Linked DNA regions of Caenorhabditis elegans. The protein of the gene in region 2 purifies or fractionates together with the protein of the main gene of each other region. This does not show direct contact. Each region holds a gene or a part of one and is shown on either strand. Other genes may lie near its edges.

Region 1 (6,248 bases), on a different chromosome or scaffold from region 2:
CCTGTTCATGGGTAATCCAACCAAAATCCCACGCTTTTTAAGTAACCGATGCGCTCCATAGGAGCATAATTGGTGTGTGCAACGATATGGGATGTGCTCTCTCTTGGGAACATTTAGATGCCGACAGATATCAATAGCCGTACAAAAAAGGAAATTAAGATGATTAAGATCTTTAAGAAACTGTCAGAAGGTGTAAGATGAATGATGAATGATGATAGGAAATAGGGGGGGGGGGGGGGTGGGGCACTTTTAAAGAAAAGAGCAATTTTTTCACTTTGAAATTTATTTTGATTTTTTATTTGAACAAATTGTAGCTTGGTCATTTTCTGAGTTTTGTTTAAAAAAACATGGCTTTACTTGAATGGGTCTTACCGCAAGAAAAACAATTATATAATTGAGATAATTCAATAGTCTTTACCATTCAAGAATAACTACTAAAATACGGGAACATTTTTCTGAAAATCGATAAAGACTGGAAAATGCTCCTAGTATGTACTTGAAGTACAACAAGTTCTACCATAAACTTTAATTTTTGGAATAACAGCCAAAAACTAATTTTTGAACATTTTTGTCATGTTCAATAATTTCAGTTAATACTAGCATAGGAAACAAAATTTTCATTCCATCGAAATTCAATATCTCATTCGTTTCAGGACCCAATGCAATTGCAGCACGTAAGCGAGGAGTTCATAATTGTCATATTGCTGGATGTGGAAAAGTTTATAATAAGAGCAGTCACTTGAAAGCACATTTAAGATGGCATTCTGGTGAACGTCAAATGGTAAGGAAGCCCGTATAATCAGGAGATTGTATCCGAAGATTGTCAAGGAATTGAAGGTGAACTCGCATTAGCTTGTAGAGTGATTGTTTTTTTTTGTAATTATTATATTTGAATCTTTTCCTAATCCAGTTTATTATCATTGTCCAATGCGTTGCGTCATTCACAACCAAAAATTAATCTGGCAATTATCATAATTCTGTTTTTTTTAAGAAGAAACGCTCCGGTGACAGCTCATGACTACATCGTCCATGTTTCCGTATCTCTTCACATATCTCATTCAAAATAAATTAACTTTCTTTATTTGATATTTCTATTTTATTTCCTCTTGATCTTCTCTCTTCTGTCTCTGGTCTATTGTGAATATATTTTTCCATCCTGTCTGAAATAAACAATTGTGGTCTAAAATATATAGAATTCATCCATTTACATGCAATATAACTGCCGTATTTTGTCTATTGGTATGGCTGCAATACAATTTTTCAGAAATCTTCACGACATACCAATAAGCAAGACCGGGGTATTTTATTTCAAAATTCTATTTTACGAAGGCTATCCTCAGGTTATGCAGTTCTTTCGATTTACCAATGAAATGAAAATTTTAGAAAACATATTTTCGTCATCATAGTTCTGAGTTTAAGTGATCTGAACGAGAGCCGATATGGCTGATATGGCACCATCTTATATGGATACATTTTCGATTTGCACTTAATATAACAACCGTATTTCTTCTATGATTGTTATACTATTTGTGTTGGGCTTATTAATTTTTACTTGAAAGAACTCAATTTTTCATTTGGAGATGTTAACATTTTGATCATAACTGTAACAAAAAGTTCAATAACTTCAATTTTTATAAACTTGAGAAAATTGTTTAAAAACAGGAAACAAAAATCTCGGTAACTCTTAAAAATTAGTGAAGCGGGATTGCACCAAACAAAAAATTAAACGCAAGATTATTAAGGAGTACAGTACTAATTTTCGGAAGATGTTTAAGATAATATGGTAAATTGGAAAAAATACGGTAAATATTTTATAGAAAAAAGATGAATGCAAGGGGAAACAGATGGGAGTGAGGAGATGATATTACGATTTACAAAAATGGGAATGGTATTTTACACGAATTTTGGAACTGGGGAAAACAGATGTCGTGCAATATGTGTTAGGTATGAACAAGATTAGAAAACACTAACACATTATTAGAATGGCATGCTGCTTTTTTCGATCACTTTCATGAATGACATCGACGCTTCATTTACGCATTGTGGACGGAGATTGTAAAATTGGGATATTAAATTGTTTGCATTGTGAAGGTGAAGAAACCATCCATGGATTCAACGACGTTACACTCTGCCTTAATTCCATCAATACGAGTTATTTCGAACTTTTGTGGTCCAATTTTATGCTTAGGTAGATTCATAATAATAGGCAAGTCACTGATGTCTGGATGTTCAAACTTAAGATATTGAAGCATACAATTCGAGTAACAAGACATCCAGTGACGGATAAATATATTCCAATCTTTTGCGCTCATATTCGAATGAAAAACTGTGATTTTGAGACAATCAAAATTGAGAAGAAAGTACAACCAGCGTTACCAAACTTTTTTGCTCGCGATGAGACCCATCTATTACGGGAACACGAAATTCTGAGAATGCGTATTGAACAACATATTTGACGCGCAAAATATCTCGTAGCGAAAACTACAGTAATTCTTTGAATTACTACTGTAGCGCTTGTGTCGATTTACGGGCTCGATTTTCGAAATGAATTTCTCCGTATTATTTTTTTCATTTTTTTATTCTAATATTTTATCGATTAATAAATGATTTCCGTAAATCGTCAGCAGTGCTACAGTACTCATTTGTTGCGTAATACGAATTCTCAGGATTTTTTGTTACCATAGTGTTATTTTCATCAATTTCTTTCTAATAAATGAAAAACATTTTTAAGAGTTACCGAGATTTTTTTTAATATTCCTTTTCAATGAGGAGAAAATTGTCAATGAGAAGCACTAATTGTTTCGCCGTTGCGTTCAGGGCAGGACTGCTTTTAATTTTAAAATAATAGCATCACGAGATCAAGAATGCATTATTTATTTGAACACAGAAAATAAAATGAGGAATATGATTTAAAGAACTGATGTAACAATAAATATTGAAAGTTGGAGAGATTGGACATAAAAACGGGACATTCGGGACTGTGACTCGTTTCTATTTGGAGCGGGCTCAATTCAGACGGGAGTTTACATTTTATATGAATACATTTTCTTAAAATCCTCCGCGGAGAGCAAGAACCAGATGAAGAACAGATCCACCGAGAACCTTGTAATCTGCTGCTGTCTTGTCGTCGTTCATTTGCTTTCCGGCGAAAATGAGACGCTGTTGGGGTGGTGGGATTCCTTCTTTTTCTTCGACCTGCAAAATAATTTTCGTTGGATATTTCGAGATAAAATTTAGCTAAAATGGAAGTTAAAGTATGTTACCTTTTCTTTGATTCTCTCGACTCGATCATTTGGTTCGATGTCCAGCTCAATTTCCTTTCCAGTCAAGGTTTTAACTTTGATGAGCATTTTCTGTAAACTGAGACGATAAATAGCGAATATTAGGTGAAAATTAACATAAAATTTTCAAAATACTGCGTTAACAGATAAAAAGTGATTCAAAAACAATGGATTTAACTCTAAACTTGAAAAAAAGAACAAAATTCGAAGAATGATGAGAGGGGTCCGGTAGAGCGCATTTGGAACGCGAGAACGAACGAGAGAGCATGAGAATATGAGAGACGCAGCAGCTTACTACGCAGTTATTTTTTGTTAATATTTATTTTTGTTTTTATAATATTATTTTCATTTTTAATTTCAGTCTTAGTCCGAAATCTATTTTGTTTGAAGTATTAAAAGTTCTCATAGCTATGAAATATATTATTGAGAAAAGAAGAAGAAAAATTCAAGAAATGAGATAGAAAATTGCTCACCGTTCGTCAAGACGAAAGAAAAGCGAATGAAGTACCTTTCTCGAACAAATGCGCTCAGCGTATCAAGAACAAATCGATTTCTTACAAATACTGCGCGTTCTGATCTCCTAGGAAGTTCAGTTAGGTTCATCCTAAACACTAGTTATCGATTTTCATATTTCCTACTGGTCGAATGTGATATAATAATGAAAATTAAACAGATTTGTGGATAGGAGAATTAAAATATCATTCATGAATCACGGAACACTATTTAGAAATTATATTTACATTACTCAAAAAATTGGGGTGAAATAGAACAAAACACAAACCCAAACATGAAATTAAATAAATTATTTCACCATTCATAACGGCCATCATAACTACTATTATAAGCCCATTAATGAGCACTCATTGAGCAGAAAATAAATAGACATTGGCCTTGTGGCCGAACTTGCACTCTTCCATAAAGCGTTCCAAAGAGCCTTCGATTTTCTTGCTTAAATGACATTTCTCTATCCTTTTCATAAATTGAAATTAATGCTTCCACTTAATAAACTAAATTTCAGCCGAAATGCCTACTATGGTAATGTCACAACTGCCTAAATCATCAGGCAATGCGCGAAAACGTCAAAAGAACAAAAACGACCACATTGTCGTAAGTATTTCTGAAGATTTCGAGTCCAACAACATTAAAATCAACCCTTTCAGGCAATCAGCTACATGTACGTTGGAACTCCAAAGAAAAAGTTCACCTTCTATGTTCGAGAAGTAAATTAAATATCTGATAGTTCAAGATTTATTCATTTCTTTTCAGAGAATGTTGTATCGTTCGAATGTGGAAGTTACATACGAGGATGTATACAACTATTTGGCTACAATTTCCAACGACGAAACTGTTTCTTTGCATTATTCTGGTAATTTTCTCAAAAAAATCCCATTTCGGAGCGAATTTTCAGACAAAAATTCGAAGTTAAAGTTTCTCATAGTTTTGTAGAAGTTTTAATCGAAAATTTATATAGAAAGATAGAAAAGTACTTCAACTGTTGTTTGCAAATTTTGAGAAACTGCAGCTTTCAGGCAGTATTCGAGGTCCCTTTTGTTTCTGAATAAATTTTTTTCTTTGTAAAGCTAGACAATTTTCAGTCAATGGTTTGTACGTGCCAATCACAACTACTGGACAGCTTCACACATTTATTCGCCATGTTCATAATGATCCTACTGCATTTCTGTACGTAGAGGTAAAAGTTTCAAATCTATCAGAATGTAATCTAATTTAATTTTTTTAAATTTCAGAATCAAGATTACGTATGGAATGTTACGCCACAGAGCAAAAGCCACAAAATGGAGAAGCGAGTTCCAAATGGAGGAGCTACTCCGATAGATGGAGACTCTGAACAGTATGATTCAACGGAGGACGAAGAAGTGTCTCATGTTGAAGATGAAAATTGTGATTCTGAAGAAATTAGTCAGGACGAGGAAGAATATGAAGATGAAGAAGGTGAAGAATATGACGATGATGATGAATCTCGAATTGCGCCAATTCTAACTGATTATACAGCTCCAATGATTGTTAGCGACAAGATACCATTGAAAGAAGCTTTTGTAGAGCCCAAACCACGTGGTCAAACCGGTCAGCAACAGGATACAGAGGTGAAACATCGATTGATACGTATTGGAGATCCACTCGCTTCACCTGCTAAAAGTATAGTAAATACTGAAATTTAAAAAATATTTTTTGTCCATTTTCAGAATCCCCACTTTCCAACCGTCAATGGACAGAATCACAAGCATACCATCACGTTAAAAATATTCTATCTGATACTTTATCCAAAAAGTCGATGGATTCAGCTCCAACACTGATAGCCGAACAACTCGTTCGAGACGTCTGGAATCCCTCATTCCCATATAATGAGAAAGTACACGAAGATACTGTGGCTCTTCTCGCTCATAGTCTGGGAACCGGTCTTCTCCATTATTATAATAGAATTTTGTCGAGATATGTAAGAATTTGTTGTCTGATATTACCAAGACATGAGATTGTACACTTTAAAAAATGCGGGACCCGGTCTCGCCAAGCGACATGCGCCTTTAAAGAGTACTGTAAATTCAAACATTCAATTTCCATAGATTTTCATTTAAAAATAATTGATTTATTGAAATCCCAAAATAAAACAATTAAAACACAAATTTCAATAAATCATTTTTTTTAAACTATAAAAAGTCTATACAAATTTGAAGTCACAGTACTCTTTAAAGGCGCACACCTTTTTGAGGTTAACGAAAATTTGTCTTGGCGAGACCGAGTACCATATTTTAAGCTTAGACATTGCAAAATTTCGTGTCGGGGTAATATATATATATATATATATAATGTTTTTGAAACAGAGATAGTTAAAGTTGAATCCTTTTCAGGCTCCCTGTGATATTTCTTCCGATTATTCGCCGCGAATGGAAAAACTTTTGAAGGAAGAACTCATGGTAATTCAATCTTCAAAAAAAAACAAATTCAAAGCAC
Region 2 (6,792 bases):
TTCCGTCGAGCCACTCGGTCTTGACGGTGCAGAGGAAGAATTGAGATCCGTTGGTGTTTGGTCCAGCATTAGCCTGAAATGTTGAAAATATTACTTTCGAGACAGACAAAAATTCTGATATTTTTTGAGACTGATACATTCAGCTGCTCTTTCTCATAAATCATTCAATTTCTCCTAACAACGGCTCAGCACTCCATCCTACACACAACGTGCTGTGAGATATGTCTGCGTCTCTCACAGATACGACAATTTCCGGAAAAGCAACATTTAGAAATCTTCAGTTTTCCCTCTTTTCGGAGAACAAACAGTGATATTTTTCCCAAATTGAGCAGAAAAAAACATTTTCTCGAACTTCAAACAGATTCAGCTGACGATTTGCTTACCATGGAGAGGACTCCTGGTCCGGTGTGCTTCTCCTTGAAGTTCTCGTCTGGGAACTTCTCTCCGTAGATGGATTCTCCTCCAGTTCCGTTTCCGCGGGTGAAGTCTCCTCCCTGGATCATGAAGTTCGGGATGATGCGATGAAACTTGGATCCCTTGAAGTGGAGTGGCTTTCCAGACTTTCCGATTCCATTTTCTCCGGTGCAGAGAGCGCGGAAATTACCGGCGGTCTTTGGGACAACGTCATCGTAAAGCTGTAAAAAATTTATTTATTGAAGATGAAAATAGCCAAAATTTCACAAACCTCCATGACGATACGTCCGGAAGCCTTACCACCGATGGTGATGTCGAAAAAGACCTTTGAGCGGCTCATTGTTGAGGCAAGAATAGGGAAATTACTGAAAAATCATAAAAATTACATAATTTAAACGAAAATCGATAAAAAATCTGAATAAAAAACAGTGAATTCGCATGAAAATTCAAAAAATGGGACCGAAATGGAGAGCGGCAGAGAAATTTCGATTTGTGGGCGGGGTCAGAATGTTCGCTCCGTTGATAATTTGTGAGACCGCGAAGTTTGAATAAGGTTTTCTTTCATCAGCAGAGCGTGCTTACATTCTTCTTTTTGGTGGTAGTTTAAATTTGAGTTTTTTAACCAATCAAAAATTAACAGTTCTTCGCGGTATTTTTACCTTCTCCTTAACAAAAAATAATCTGCAGTTTTGAAAACTGAAATCAACAACAGAATTTATCAACAACAAATTCAACAAAGCTTGGAGCTAATCTTCCAAAAGATCAATGAGCTTCTGAAGCAACGCATTGTAGGTTATATGATCGAGAGATTTATAATTTTCGTGATGCTTCAACGCAGTAACATCTTCGCTGGTCTCCAATTGCGAAAGGCATGCATTTTGAAGCCTTGAGAGTCTGTAGACTTCGGCGAACTTCAGCTTGTCGATCAAGTGGGTCTTTTGGTCCAAAATCAAAAACGTTTCAGCCTTTTCCAGAACTCTTGGCACCGCGAATCTATCGCTCAGCTTGAGCAAGTGAGACACGTTGGAACCTGAAAATCCGTTAATAATTCCAAGCCTCAAATAAAAAAAAGAACTTACTATTAATGAGCATGTGAGTGGGGTAGATCACATTGAGCAAATCGATAAACTCAGAGTGGGTCACATCATCGATTTTGATCTCAGCCTGTGTCTTTTCGGCGAAATTCGAATAGAACATTTTTTGGAAGAATTGCGAGCTCGTTGCGAGCACTTGCTTGCCAACATGGACATGTTTTCCTTCAAGCACCAGCACAACATCGGTAAGATGTTCCTTGGGTTGATCGAAAGTCTCGATAATCCTCTCATGAATTCCGGCAATCTTGTTGACAGTAATTTGGACTTCAAGAACGGCATGCTTATCGAGCACAAATCGATTATCGTAGCAGATGGCTTCCTCCCAATTTTTAAAATTGTTGACCACCACAATCTTGTTCAAGTCGTCGAACTTTTGCTGAAACTCCATCGAAAACGCGTCATCATCCTCGTTTGAATTGAGTCTCAGAAGTGAAAAACGAATTGACGCATCGCAGGACCACAAGTTGCTGCGCAGTTCCTCGTTGCATTTCAGGTGAATTCCGAGATGTTTAGCATTGTTCGTAGCGTCGGAAGTGCTTGTGAATGCTCCAAGAATCCTTAAAAGATAATATTTTAAATAATTTAGAACATTTTTTGTTTCATTAAAATTCACTAACCATTCTACGTGTCCAATTTGCACTGGTTTGTGCTCCGTCGCCTTCGCCAAGCCAGAAAAATTTTGAATCTCAAAACGAATTGATCCTTTATTGTCTTTTCCAGACATTTTATCTTGTGATAAATTTAATTTGAACAATGAAGAAGAATTTGAAACAAACAATTTAAGCTGAGCAATGCTCTCACCTACAGTACACTAAATGGCTTCGAGACCAGTCAAAATTTATAAAGTTTATTGGTCTATTTCTAGGACTTTCACATTAACCATTTTTAGCACATCACGATGTATTTTGTGCAGATTTTATTTTGTCCTTGTACGAAAAGATTATTTTTTAGCGGATAAGCAAAGCTAATCTTGACGAACCGCTTCGCAGATACCCGTCACATGCAGAGCTTCATATTTAGCTCAATCGATCTCGAAAGCATTCAACAAAATGAAAAACTGTTGGATTAATTTGTGATCTATTTAGCAATTTAAAATGTTCTCAATGTTTCTCAATGTTAAATCATCTCGATATTTCTCCTTCTTTTCGTGAAGACCGTGGTGATGATCGAACTGATATCAATGACCGGTTTTTCAATGTAATCTTTTATTGCCTACAAAAATTGTTATCAATTTCGGCGCCGTTCTGTTGTTTTGTGTACGATCATTTGAAAACACAGGCGCACGGTGAAAGTGTTGACAAAAGGCGGGAAACACAGCGAAAGTGTCGTCAGATATGGCGCATGTCGTATGATTGGGTGTCGGGTACGCAGACACTTTTGCGGACTTTGTTGTTTACGTCGGAAAATTCTAGAAGCGAACGGCTCATTTCTTCTCTCTTTCGTCGCCTAATTTGTTGATTTTGTCAGAATTTTTATAGTTTCGCTTATTAAAATGAATTAAAATCAATTGAAAATTATTTAAGAACTTTTTTGATGTGCAACTGTCGTTTAATCCTTGTTGAATCACGTCTTTCGGCAGATTTTAGGCCCAACAGGAAAATTAATTTAGTTGGGCCTAAAATTTTCTGTTTTAGTGCGCTAATTCACTCCATTTCAGTATATAGCTCATCCGTGTGCTTCTTCCTTGTATCTTATGGTGCTTTGTTTATATTTTTAACTTTGATTGATTCCCGCTCTATTACCGCAGAGCGTGTTTGCCGCACCTCTGTAGATATACCTATCTCATACATATTTCTCAACTATAACTCAAGCATTTTAGTGATTACCCTACCTGAAAATGAGCCGCCCAAGAGTCTTCTTCGACATCACCATCGCCGGAAAACCAACCGGACGTATCGTTATGGAGGTAAACAAAACACTGATCTTTTTTCATGAAATTAAATCTTATTTTCAGCTCTACAACGATATTGTTCCAAAAACCGCTGAGAACTTCCGTGCTCTTTGCACTGGTGAGAAGGGAGTCGGAAAGTCCGGAAAGCCACTCCACTTCAAGGGATCCAAGTTCCATCGTATCATCCCAGAATTCATGATCCAGGGAGGAGACTTCACCCGCGGGAACGGAACTGGAGGAGAATCCATCTACGGAGAGAAGTTCCCAGACGAGAACTTCAAGGAGAAGCACACCGGACCAGGAGTCCTTTCCATGGTAAGTTATGTTGCCTAGCCAGATTGAAAGACAGCATAAACTGATAGAAAAGAAGCATTATCTAGTTTCTTAACTGTTATCCACTGGCTGATAAGTTTCATTGTTTTTCTTCAGGCTAACGCTGGACCAAACACCAACGGATCTCAATTCTTCCTCTGCACCGTCAAGACTGCCTGGCTCGACGGAAAGCACGTCGTTTTCGGACGTGTCGTCGAAGGATTGGACATCGTCAGCAAGGTCGAGGGCAACGGAAGCAGCTCCGGAACTCCAAAGTCCGAGTGCCTCATCGCCGACTGCGGACAGCTCTAAATTTGTTCTCCGTGAGAACTTTTCTTCTTTTCAATCACCCCATCCAACCCTGTTTATTGCTTCACTTTTTCATCTTGATCATCAATAAATTGCTCGAAAAGAATATAGTTGTTCAGTTACATGGGTCGTACTCGAGGAAGCCTTCGTGAATTGTTCTCAACAGCTTGGAGAGAACTGTAACATTGTAGAAGCGATTGAAAGCGTCGATTTCCGTCATTTTGTTCCAATCTCTGCGCATTCTATCCTGAATTTCAGACAACCGTTCGAACTCTGTTGACTCGTGAAGAGTAAACACATAAAATGGAATTGTTAGAGGAAAAGCTGTAAATTGTGCAAATATTCAGATTTCGAGCATAAAATGTAGGCATTGTTGCCAGCTCTTCACATTCTTTTGGTTATTCTCACTTGTCAGATTCCTAGAAATGTTTCCCGAGATTCTTAATAATGAAAAACTTCGATTGGAGAACATTAAGAAGATCTATGAATCGAGCAAGTCTGGTTATGAATCGGCCAAACAGTTGTATGAGCAGCAGGTCAACAATCCGGAAGTTTCGGATGAGCAAAAGTCGGAGAATTTGGAGAAATTGAAGGAGTCTCGTGGTGATTTGGACAACTTGCAGAAGAAAATCGTCGAGCTTCAGGCGAAGATTGAGAACTTGGTTAGTTGAATACCTTTTTAATAAAGCTCCAGTAGTCTCTCCATTTTCAGAGCAAACTCGGCGGGCAACAAGGAAATCCATTCAAGAAGTTGTTCTAATTTTTGATATTTTCTTAAATGAACTTTCTTCCAGTTACAAGAGTATTACAGGCGCTAATATTTATTTACAATTGTGGCAAGCTATTTCAGAAAATAATGTGCGGGTTAGTAGGTTTGGGTTGTACACAAGAATGATTTTAGTCCTCGTCGGAGCTCTCTTCCGAATCCTCTTCGGAATCCGAGTCATCATCTCTCCGAGCGCCGATCCCTTTTATCTTTCCGACGAGCTTTTTGATGAGAGATGGCTTGTTCTTCTCTTCGTATTCTTCCAGATTATCGTGAAGCTGAAAATTGGAACATTTATTGTGAGAAGGCTTTTTGAAAACATACTTGAGATCTGAAATCGACGATCTCTTCAGCCGAAAAGTTCGCGACAATGAACTCTCTGATAGCAGGCTCTCCGAATTTGCACATCTTCAGCACGTGCTCCTCCTCATCCGAAAAATCACCGTAATCATCATAAATTTGCAAGTATTTCTGGAAATTCTCAATTATTAGGGCATTCAACCCCAGAACCCTACCATTCCACAGAATCTCCAGAAACACGTTGAAGCTGCGAAGTCTCTTCAGCCTCTCCATCATTTGTGAAGCCATCGTCTTGTCCGGAGCTACAAAACTAACAATTTATTTTGATGAAGCTTATTATATATTTGCCTTCCCAAAGTGACTGCGGCAGTCATATCGAGACACAAATCATGATCACCATTGTAGAATCGATTCCACCAGAAGTCGAACTCTCTGACGCCCATAGACTCGTTTCCGAGAGCATCGCAGAAATCTTTGTATCCTTGGGTAGAGTCTTTCAGACTGAAAACTTCGTAGAGGACGCAAGAACGAACGAATTCCGGATCTTTGCACAGAGGAGAAGTAATGAACTGAAAAGTAAAGGAGTTAATCGAGAAATTTGAAATTTTTTAAACCTCCAAGTGCTTTGCTTTCTTCTCAGAACGTGACGGATCCGATCTCAGGATTTGCCCATTCTTTGCACGTTCGAGCTCGTGGTCAATGGCATTTTGTGAGCTGATCTCAAGACCCAAATCGTGATTTCCGTCGTAAAAACGTCTGTGCCAGAACTCGAATTCCCGATTATGCATGATGTCGTTTCCGAACGTGCTGCAGAAGTTAGCGAATCCCTGAGAAAATGTGTTCAGCTTGAACACCTCGTAGAGAACACATGTGCGAAGGAAGGCTGGATCAGTACGCAAGGAAGAAGCCATAATCTGAAAATGAAAATTAATGAAAAGCGTAATACATAGTGCAAAATGGAAGGGAAACATGGGAAAACCAGGGAAAGAGAAAAAAAGTTAGAGCTGGACCAAATTTGGGACAAAGGAGAAAAGAAACGAAAAAGAATTCAATTTTTACCGCGCGCAGAATAAACTTATTTGATCTACGGATAGGTCAAAATTATATAGATCTGATCAAATTTCTTTTCTGAAAAAAAAAAGTTCTGATTTTTTAAACCGAACAACAAAAATTTTCCGTTTTCCGATGTTTTGAAAAAAAAAATCTAACAAAAGAAACACATTTCTAGGAAAAGAAAAAGTATTTGCAAGGTTCGAGTTTCGAAAAACTATGTTTGAACCGTGCCACGTGACGCGTGGTTGCAGAAAAAGCGTGCGGCGCTTGCAAAAATGGGCGGATTAGCCACACGCGCTCTCATACTACTGTAGACAAGAACATGTGCAACTGCAGACTGAACACTCTATTTGACGCGAATATGCAAAACATGTTTTCTTCCGGATTTTTGCCACGCCTTCCAGCTTGTTTTTCATCATTTTTCCTGAAGAAAAAATAAATATTTCATTTATTTGTTATTTACCAGTTTTTAAGGCCTTTTAGAATAATTTAAAGTTTTCCATTGGGGGATTCCGAACAAAAAATTTAAGTATGAAAAATTTTCTTAATCTCAAAGTGATGTGGACTAAAATCAATTATAAAATTTGCATCACACGCTTGGTAATTGATTGATCCACTCAACGGGCCTTCATATTTCGGGTCGAACACTCTTG

Evidence for each region. Proteins that work in one complex are often made in the same cells at the same time.
Region 1: the proteins of cyn-7 (region 2) and ned-8 purify together in Caenorhabditis elegans (affinity purification with mass spectrometry; 2 studies listed by BioGRID, with this or other methods). This does not show direct contact.

The regions. Positions count from the first base shown.
Region 1 is NC_003279.8:10,370,510-10,376,757, forward strand, and holds ned-8 (Ubiquitin-like protein NEDD8), read right to left. Parts: upstream 3,354-6,248; 5' UTR 3,351-3,353; coding exon 3,264-3,350; intron 3,196-3,263; coding exon 3,049-3,195; 3' UTR 2,864-3,048; downstream 1-2,863. Other genes in the region: sptf-1 (Specificity protein transcription factor 1), read left to right, coding at 654-781, 992-1,018; hpo-35 (PB1 domain-containing protein), read left to right, coding at 4,305-4,388, 4,442-4,501, 4,548-4,647, 4,877-4,971, 5,027-5,435, 5,483-5,733, 6,146-6,211. UniProt on the Caenorhabditis elegans protein: Ubiquitin-like protein which plays an important role in cell cycle control and embryogenesis. Covalent attachment to its substrates requires prior activation by the E1 complex uba-3-ula-1 and linkage to the E2 enzyme ubc-12.
Region 2 is NC_003283.11:15,183,914-15,190,705, reverse strand, and holds cyn-7 (Peptidyl-prolyl cis-trans isomerase 7), read left to right. Parts: upstream 1-3,327; 5' UTR 3,328-3,345; coding exon 3,346-3,414; intron 3,415-3,462; coding exon 3,463-3,714; intron 3,715-3,828; coding exon 3,829-4,023; 3' UTR 4,024-4,124; downstream 4,125-6,792. Other genes in the region: cyn-3 (Peptidyl-prolyl cis-trans isomerase 3), read right to left, coding at 1-73, 384-635, 686-754; bath-36 (BTB and MATH domain-containing protein 36), read right to left, coding at 1,161-1,444, 1,494-2,065, 2,126-2,232; Y75B12B.3 (Transposase), read left to right, coding at 4,446-4,682, 4,733-4,780; Y75B12B.1 (Mos1 transposase HTH domain-containing protein), read right to left, coding at 5,298-5,388, 5,435-5,655, 5,701-5,997; fbxa-84 (F-box domain-containing protein), read right to left, coding at 6,665-6,792. UniProt on the Caenorhabditis elegans protein: PPIases accelerate the folding of proteins. It catalyzes the cis-trans isomerization of proline imidic peptide bonds in oligopeptides.